Linked DNA regions of Canis lupus familiaris. The protein of the gene in region 1 interacts with the protein of each later gene in a biochemical or structural test. Links are inferred from orthologs where the notes say so. Each region holds a gene or a part of one and is shown on either strand. Other genes may lie near its edges.

The links.
Region 2: the proteins of AKAP1 (region 1) and MYCBP form a complex in vitro, tested with the Homo sapiens proteins (2 studies listed by BioGRID). The link is inferred for Canis lupus familiaris from reciprocal best matches to the Homo sapiens genes AKAP1 and MYCBP.

Annotation. Positions count from the first base shown.
Region 1 is NC_049230.1:31,854,196-31,858,001, forward strand, and holds part of AKAP1 (A-kinase anchor protein 1, mitochondrial), read left to right. Parts: intron 1-1,482; coding exon 1,483-1,616; intron 1,617-3,232; coding exon 3,233-3,359; intron 3,360-3,662; coding exon of another isoform or gene 3,663-3,766; exon of another isoform or gene 3,767-3,799; intron 3,800-3,806.
Region 2 is NC_049236.1:3,935,793-3,940,206, forward strand, and holds the start of MYCBP (C-Myc-binding protein), read left to right. Parts: upstream 1-1,424; 5' UTR 1,425-1,466; coding exon 1,467-1,481; intron 1,482-1,681; coding exon 1,682-1,754; intron 1,755-4,414. Other genes in the region: GJA9 (gap junction alpha-9 protein), read left to right, coding at 1-213. UniProt on the Homo sapiens protein: May control the transcriptional activity of MYC. Stimulates the activation of E box-dependent transcription by MYC.

The DNA.
Region 1 (3,806 bases):
GTTAAAATGTGTGTGTGCTTTTTTTAAAAAAAGATCTTAAAGTGGGTAAACAAATATTTTCCTAAGAATAATGGAGTTTCTCTTTATCCACTGGCCCTAAGCTGAATTAACAGACCCATTACAGCTGTGTCATGCCACCTCTAGATTGGTTGTGGCAGCTACTCAGGTGTGGTGAAGGCCTTCAGTTGAGGCCTCGTGGAAGAGAGGGCTATGACCGTGGGGAGGTACAGGAACAAGAGATGGGAGCGTGGCATACCACTCACTTGGCCCTCAGTTGGGCAAAGCATAAGCTCCCACCTCCCTGGCATCTGATGTACCTGACCATGCACAGCCCTACCTGGTGCCTAGGGGCCCCACTGAGGAAGCTGGCCTGTGAGCACAGACTGCTAGAGTGCTGTGTGGTCTGAGCCACCTCTGGGTGTCCCTGGAGTGGCCTGTATCAGCCAGGCCTATTCTATCCAGGAGAGGCTGGGGCCCCTGGTGTTGAGGGACAAGGTCACTCTCAAGGTGACTTGTCCTTATCTGGGGGCAGAATCTCTTAAGCCTTACTGTGCATCCAGACAGTACATGCGTTGCTTGGCAAAGGATTATGTCCAGAGTTTGGAGAAACCATGTGTATAATAACCTAAGTAGTAGAATCTTGGGAGCGATCTATTTCTGGTAGTTAAGTCCTCCATATTTAAGCCAGAGGCCTTTCTCTTAAGCTGGTCTGGACCCCTGTTTTTCTGGGATAGCCTCTCTGGCACACTCTTGAGCAAGAGAGCAGCAGACCACATTGATGCCAGGGGCCTGCTTCCTGCTCTGTCTGTTGTCTGGGGCATGAACTTCAGCCCAGTCTTGGGACCAAGGGGTAAAGATCCACCATGAGCCCAGAATGTTAAGAGTTGCACAAGTCAGGCCTAAGCAGAGGGAAAGGAGGACCTCCTTCCTTCATCTACTTCCAGTAGAGCCCCAGGGCAAGATGAGAATGGGGCCCTCAGATGAGCCAGCAAGGGAGGATTCTTCTAGCTCTGCTGGACTGAAGTTCACTGCCCATGGAGCCCAGGCCTAGGTCCCTTGGTCTGAGGGGCTGGCATAGGTGCTGGGGTGTGGACCCCTTGTGACTGGTTGGTCTTTGTGGAAGCCAGCACATATACAGCTTCTGGGACCATGTGGTCTTGCTGGCCTGCTCCCCCACCCCGTGGACTCCCCTTCCCAGCTCACCACTTGTCTCTGCTCCAGCAGCTGTGGCTGGGCGTGGCTGCCAATTCAGCAAGTGGAGCTGTGAGTGACAGGCTAAAATTAGGTGTATCTACACCCCCAGTCCTCCTTTCATTGGGGTTGTTCTAACCCTTCTAGACTTCGGGTTGACAGTCACCTGCCAAGCTTGAGGAGGGGGTGTGGGGCGGGGGCCTCCTGGGAATGTGAGTTTGGAAGTTCTTCATTGTTGACTGCTCTTAGCTGGCCTCTGTGTGTCTGTGCATGCTGCTTCCACCCCTGCAGGCTCGGACGGGAACAGCATGGATTCAGTGGATGGCTGCTGTGGCCCCAGGAAGACTGACAGTTTCCAGAATGCCCAAGCAGCCTCTAGTCCTAAGAAGGTCGACCTCATCATCTGGGAGATTGAAGTGCCAAAGGTAAGGGCTGCAAGCTCCACACTCCTACAGGCCCAGGGTCATCGAACTTAAGGGAGAGGGAGACAGTAAACCTGAAGCTGCCCCCCGAGTGAGCCAGAGGCTGAAGGGAGCAGGAGTGTCACACCCTGCCAGGGCCCACAGAGCTTCCTGCCAAGTGGAGTTCCCTCAGCTGCCTTCAGGAGGGACCTGTTCTCGTCTCCTTCAAACTCACACACAGGCTACTTACGCTCTCCCTGGGGCTTCCTCCTGTGTGCTGGGGCTCAGATCTGTTTGGAGATGCTAGCAAAAACCAGCCTGAGGACGTGAGCTAGGCGGGAGTCCCTTCACGGTGCTCTGCTCAAAGCTCTCCAGTGCAAAGTATATTTGATAATTGAGCACAGCATAAATCCATATTTCAGAGAGCTTGAAAAGTATAGAAACATATGAGGAAAATAACAAGCTGCTCTAATCTTACCCCCGGGAGTGGCTGTGAAGACTTGTGTTTCCTTCTCGTCTTGCACCCTGTGGTTTTTAAACAAAACTGAGATTATGTTGCTTTAATTAATGCTTTTAAATATTTAACAATTTAATTTTCCTGCGTTATTCTTTTGAAAATATAATTTTAACTGCATTATTCATTGTAGGAATGTCAGTTTACTTCACCAGTCCCCAAATCCAGGGTACCAAAGTGTTTTCGAGCTTCTTGCTATTCTAACTTAAAATTTATTAGCTCGATCTTGATGTTTATCACGGGGGCTCAGAAATAATTGGCCAACTGAATTCTCCCAGGAACTTAGCTCCCTACCGCCGCCATGGAGACTTGGCTTGGTTTGAACTCTAGGTCAGGCAGGCTGCTTTGACCCCAGGGTGCTGACTCCCTTGGTGGTTCCCCCCTTGCCCTGTGACCCTGATAGCAGTTGTGCCTCCTCCTCCCTTAGTGGTTGCAAAGGGCACACCCAGACATCTCTAGGTACAGGGCGACCATGTCCCTGGTAGCTCTGCTGGTGTACGGTTGTGTGGGATTGTCTCAGAGCTCGCCTTACATCATGGCTAAGTTGGGCTTCTTCTGTCTGCCTTGAGCTCTTGGCACGCTGGGCACTTCTACAAGCCTCGTGCTCTGAAGGCTCCGGCCCGCTATCAATTGGCAGCAGAAGCCCAAGGGTTCTTTCTTCAACTTTTATTTTCAAATGGAGCCTTTTTATCTTTGAACCCGGATAGACTTGAAGAGGTCGGAGGAGTCGTAAATCGACCCTTGTGCTGTGGTGGAACCTCTCCTAGTGTAGATTTGGGAGGAGAAGATGCTGGCTTTGCAGCCTTCTGGATGTGGGCCCCGTTGTCGGGGAAGAAATGGGAACTGCTGAGTCCTGGAGCCAGCCAGACTGTGTAGTTCAGCCATTTAGCAGTGTGATATTGGGTGAGTTACTTAGCCTCTTTGAGCTTGTTAACCTCATCTGTAAAATGGTGATAAAGGTATCTGTCATAGCTAAGTGCTCGGAACAGTGCCTGGCAAATGAGTGCTGATATGTTCACAGTTAATGATATATTTGAGCTTCACTTTGTGTAAAACAAAGGTAAGTCTTTGGGAACGTAGGGAATTGGTTTCCTATTAACACCCCAATCGTCTCTTTCTCTTTCAGCACTTAGTTGGTCGGCTAATTGGCAAGCAGGGGCGGTATGTGAGCTTTCTGAAGCAAACGTCTGGTGCCAAGATCTACATCTCCACCCTGCCTTACACCCAGAACATCCAGATCTGCCACATAGAAGGTCAGTGGCAGCTGTCCGCTTGGGTTTTGTTGTCTTCCCTGAAATGTAAGGCATTTGAATCTCAGTTATTCCCTTTTTGGAATCTAAGTCTTTGAATAGAAACCCCTGCTCATCCCAGGTGAAGGGAACATGGTGGTGATGGTGGGGGGTCTTCCTTTAGCCCTCCTCTCCAGTTCAGCTACTTGAAGGAGCCTCCTCTCCCTCCCCCAGATCTTGTGGCCAGGAGAGGTGTGGGCACTCACATGGGCAGGCTGGGGTGGCCTGGATTTATGGTGCCCGCTGCCTCACACAATTCCTTCACAGAGCAGAACATGATTCCCCTCCGGTTGGTGAGGGCTGGACCTTTCCCATCAGCTAGCCTCCTATTGCATTCAAAGCATGGACACAACAGCAGTGGTATCACTTGATAGGTCGGTGGATTTCAGTCCTCTTTAGATAACCTTTCTT
Region 2 (4,414 bases), on another chromosome or scaffold:
TGCAGAGAGGGCACGATTAGAACCCTTCCCCCTTCGCAGGGAGACTGCCAAGCACCTGACATTTCAGACACTCCTGATTCTTTGGGACAGTTGACCTTCGATTCTGATTTGGTCAGAGGCTGCAATAATCCTACTGCTTGTCCTCCAAATCATTTAGTGTTGCTGACAAACCACCTCACTGGCAGGCGGGCTCCCACAGACCTTCAGATCTGAGCAGCTGTGGGCTCCTAGACTTTCTGCATATTGTTATCACAGAGGTAGCCTAGTGGTGGTGGAGCACAGGTAAGGGCAGCTCTAAAGACCAGCTGTTCCGACAGACCATTGCAAACCCATCTCAAAAAGAAAAACACACGCATCCATTCTGAATGGCGAAGGGGCAGTTTTAAATTCAAAGCCATAGTTACCAACTCGGGGTTACTGCTTTACAGGCTCCCTTCAGAATCCATGAAAACTGATTCTTGCCAAGTCACAAATTCAGAACTGAGGCTTCACGGTTTGGAACCAGGTTTTTCCTTGAAGGAAGTTTTTCCCTGAAGGAACCTTGGGAGATGGTTCTGGATCTACATCATCCTCCCTTTTGGTTGCGAATCTTTTGTTTCTGGACGATGGTTAAATTGTTTGTCAATGGGACTTAATTTAGTTTCCTTATAGACTGCAACTTGCTGCCTCTTGAGTGTAACGATGACGTTGCTATCTAGTAAATAAAATCTTAAAAAAGATCGGTGGCTTCAGAGCATCGTGATTCATTGCCCAGGTTGGCGGGCGTAGCTCCACACTCCCTGGTTCCTCTAACCACTTCACTCACCAGCGCCTACCTTGCAGGAGAATGAAAAGAAGAAACCTGTTTAACACCGGCACCCAGTACGACGTCACTGCTCACCCTCCAGGGGCCCTTCTCAATCACGCCGGCCACAAAACAAACTCTGAAAGTAAACAGCTGGAGCTGAAACATAACGATTCCAAGCGCTCGGTCGACCGGCGGCGGGTCGCGCGCCCCTTTCCGGGAGGAGCGCCAGGAAGCCGGCGCGTCCAGGTGGGCTAGCGCCGCTACCGAGGTCCCGGGGGAGGCAGGTGCGCCCAGCCCCGCGCCCGCGCATCCCGCCGCGCTCCGGCCCCCGCAGGCCCCGCCCCCGGGCGCCCCGCCCCCTCCGGCCCCACCTGGACGCCCGTCCCGAGTCCCCTCGACCTCGCCTCTCGCTGAGCAACCGAACCGCCGCAGGGACCGGAAGAGGAAGGCGAGGCGCGGCCCCGGGAGCAGGAGGCAGGCGCGCGCAGCCTCCCTCGGCCCGGCCTGCCGCGGGGCCCTCGCAGCGTCCCCGTCGTCATGAAAACAGGCCACGCCCCCGCGCTCGCCGACCGCGGTTCGCAAGTGCGCAGGCGCGCGCGCCCTGCGGCGCATGAGCAGTGCGGCTCGGAGCCCGCCAGCCACGGTCTCGGGCGCCAGCTACGCCGCTGCCGCTGTCACTATGGCCCATTACAAAGTGAGGGGGGCGCGGCGTGGCTGGGGGCGTGCGGGCGGGAGCCAGCCGCTGGTCGGCTCCGGGAGGGCGTGGGGGCGCGCGCGCAGGTTTGGGGGGCCCGAGTAGCGAGGCGGAGGCGGAGGCGGGGCTGCCGGACTCCCAGCGCCTTCTTCCTGCTCCGGCCCCTGCGCTTCGGCCGCTGACCCGCCGTGTCTCCTCAGGCCGCCGACTCGAAGCGCGAGCAGTTCCGGAGGTACTTGGAGAAGTCGGGGGTGCTGGACACGCTGACCAAGGGTGAGCATGCGCCGGGAGGGGGCTCCTCGTGTCCACGTCGTGCTCCTCGGCGCTGCGCCCCTGCCGGGCCGAGGCGCGGGGCGGGGGCGGGGGCGGGAGGGGCAGCAGGTGGGGCCTGCCAGGTGGGCCCTGCCAGGTGGGCCCGGGGCTCGGCGGGGACGCCGCCCGCGCCGGGCTGCCGCGCTCTCCGGGCGGGGAGTGGAACTCTTGCAGCTGTTGCAAAGTCCCTCCAACTTCCGTTGCTTTGCCTCCAGCGGCCGCAGAAGGCATGTTTGCTAAAGACCCTGAGATCCCAATCCCTCCCTCCTGACACTTTTTGCGGAGTCAAAATTAGGTAAAGCAGCATGTTTCCCCCCGGACAAAGGGCAAGGGGGAAAATGACCGGATTTCCAAAGTTGGCGGATAAAAATAACCAAGTGAACCGAATCCCCCAAATAGGCGATTAAGAATCAGTTTGACTGTGGTTTTACAGCCCCGCTTTCGTAGGCGATGCCAGTTCCTGCCCTGTGCAGATTTCCGAAGTAGAATTAGAGTTTAAAGAGCTTGAGGGCACATGAAAATGGTTATATTGTTTACACTTAAGATGGAAGCTGTGACACTGTATCTCTTTCTGGGGAGGGGGGGGGTGTCTGTGTGTGCGTGTGTTCGAGACCTGAGATGAGGAAGGAGCTTGAAACTGCAGCGTTCCAGGAGACAGTTGGGCTACTGCTTATTAGCTCAGCAATAATGTGAATGCCTGCTATGTATCGTTCAACTCACTGGCTAGAACTTTCAAGGGTATAGAACAGAAAAGCTGTCCAGGATGATGACTGGGTCCACACGAGAAGCGTCTGGGAGATGATTTGGTAACTGCTCTTTGGCCAGAAGCAAAGCCTATTAGGAGAAAATTCTGGGAGAGTAACAACTGGACCTTAGCACAAAGCAGGGCTTTTAATTCCCATACCTGGGCTGATAATTTTGAATTGCTACCTACCTTAGGTTTGGGTACTAGTTTCCTTCTATCTGCAATTAAATTAAATACAATTAAATTAATACAATTAAATTTCAGCAAACATTACAGGAGTACTCTATGAAAGTGCTGTGCTCTGTCCTCTCTTGAAATGTCACAGAAACTTGGAATTTCAATACCGACCCCCCAACCCCCAACCTTAAAAAAACTCCATGAGTTCTTTTCTTTCATTTATTAAACCGTTTTATTCAGGTCTCTGTTCTAGGCACTGGGGATACATCAGTGGGGAAAGAAAAAAGAAAGACCCTGCTCCAAATAAGCTTCTTCTAGTTGGTGGAGACAGATAAATAAGTAGTGCCAGCCAGTGGGAATTGTTATGAATGAAAATACAGCAAAGGGGGATAAAGAGCAAGAGGTGGTGGGGGAAGGTTTCTTTTAAGTAACATTTGAGCAGAGATCTGAATGAAATGTGATGTCAAGAGTTCCAGGAAGTGCAAGGAGGCCAGGGTGACTGCATGAAATTAAAGACAGAAAGTTAGAAGGCAGAGAAGTGACCTTGGCAGGGGGTAACAGCCTTGTGGCCATACATGGATCTTCCCTCATGAGATTGGAAACCACTGAAGGCTTCTTTTCTCTTGGTCACATCTATTGGCATCTAACTCCTCCACCTCTGTAGACTTCCAGTCTCCTCAATATCAGATAACATAGTGTCTACTGATGTGACCTATTTAAAATTTGATTTTTCAGCTCCAAACGTGGGTACTTTCCACAAATTTAATTTATGATTTTAATAAAGCTTATTTCTAAGAGGATCTGAAACTGCTTCTAACATTAAAACACTATAAGGATGGCTAAAGATAAAGAGAAGTCATTTGGAAAAAGGCATTTGAGTTGAGTACCATACTAACCTCTAAAAAATCCCACCTCTAAGGCAAAAAGGGAAACACCAGCTATCAAGTTCTTGTCTGATTAAAAGGAAGTATATTTCATCTATAGAAAAGCACAGGAAGCTTGACATTTACATTGTGTTCTGTAACTATCAACCTCATGGTAGCACTGACAGAAATTTAGAAGCTGAAAGAAATGGGGTGCGGAAGAGGTAGAAAGGCTTAGAGTTATTCATGTCTTATAGAGTTAGTTGGCAGAGATTAGTAGAAATTAGTGGAAGAAGAAACAGGCTTGAGTATGTAATTTAAAGAAAAACATATTGAAGGGAGAGGGGGCTGGTGATGTAAACATACCAGATTCTTAAAAAACCAGGTTGTAATACATTTAGAAGAGTAACTATCAGAACTCAGTCCAGGTTGTTAAAAGTCATTGATTGTCATTTGACTTTTTCATACTGTGTATTATTTTGATGAATTATTAAAACTAAAAAAATAAAAAAGGAAACGTGTAAGTTTTACAGCAGTTCTTGGAGTCTAGAGATGCACATTTTTTTGTGTGTGTAGTTAAATTTTTGGCTTTTGTCATTTTTCAAAGGGTTCCATGCACAAAAAATTTAACCACTGGTTTAGAGAGATTTTTGTCTGAGTAGTAAATCCTAGGAGGAATTTGTTCAATAGAAGATGAGAAAGGTAGTGCTGACATAAGCTTTTGGGTACAAACTAAAACATCTATTTTAATGTTGATCTGAGCATGTCGATTACTGGTAAAGTTTTTGGTTGGTGGTTATTTAGCATATTGTATATGAAACTATTCTTGAAGCACA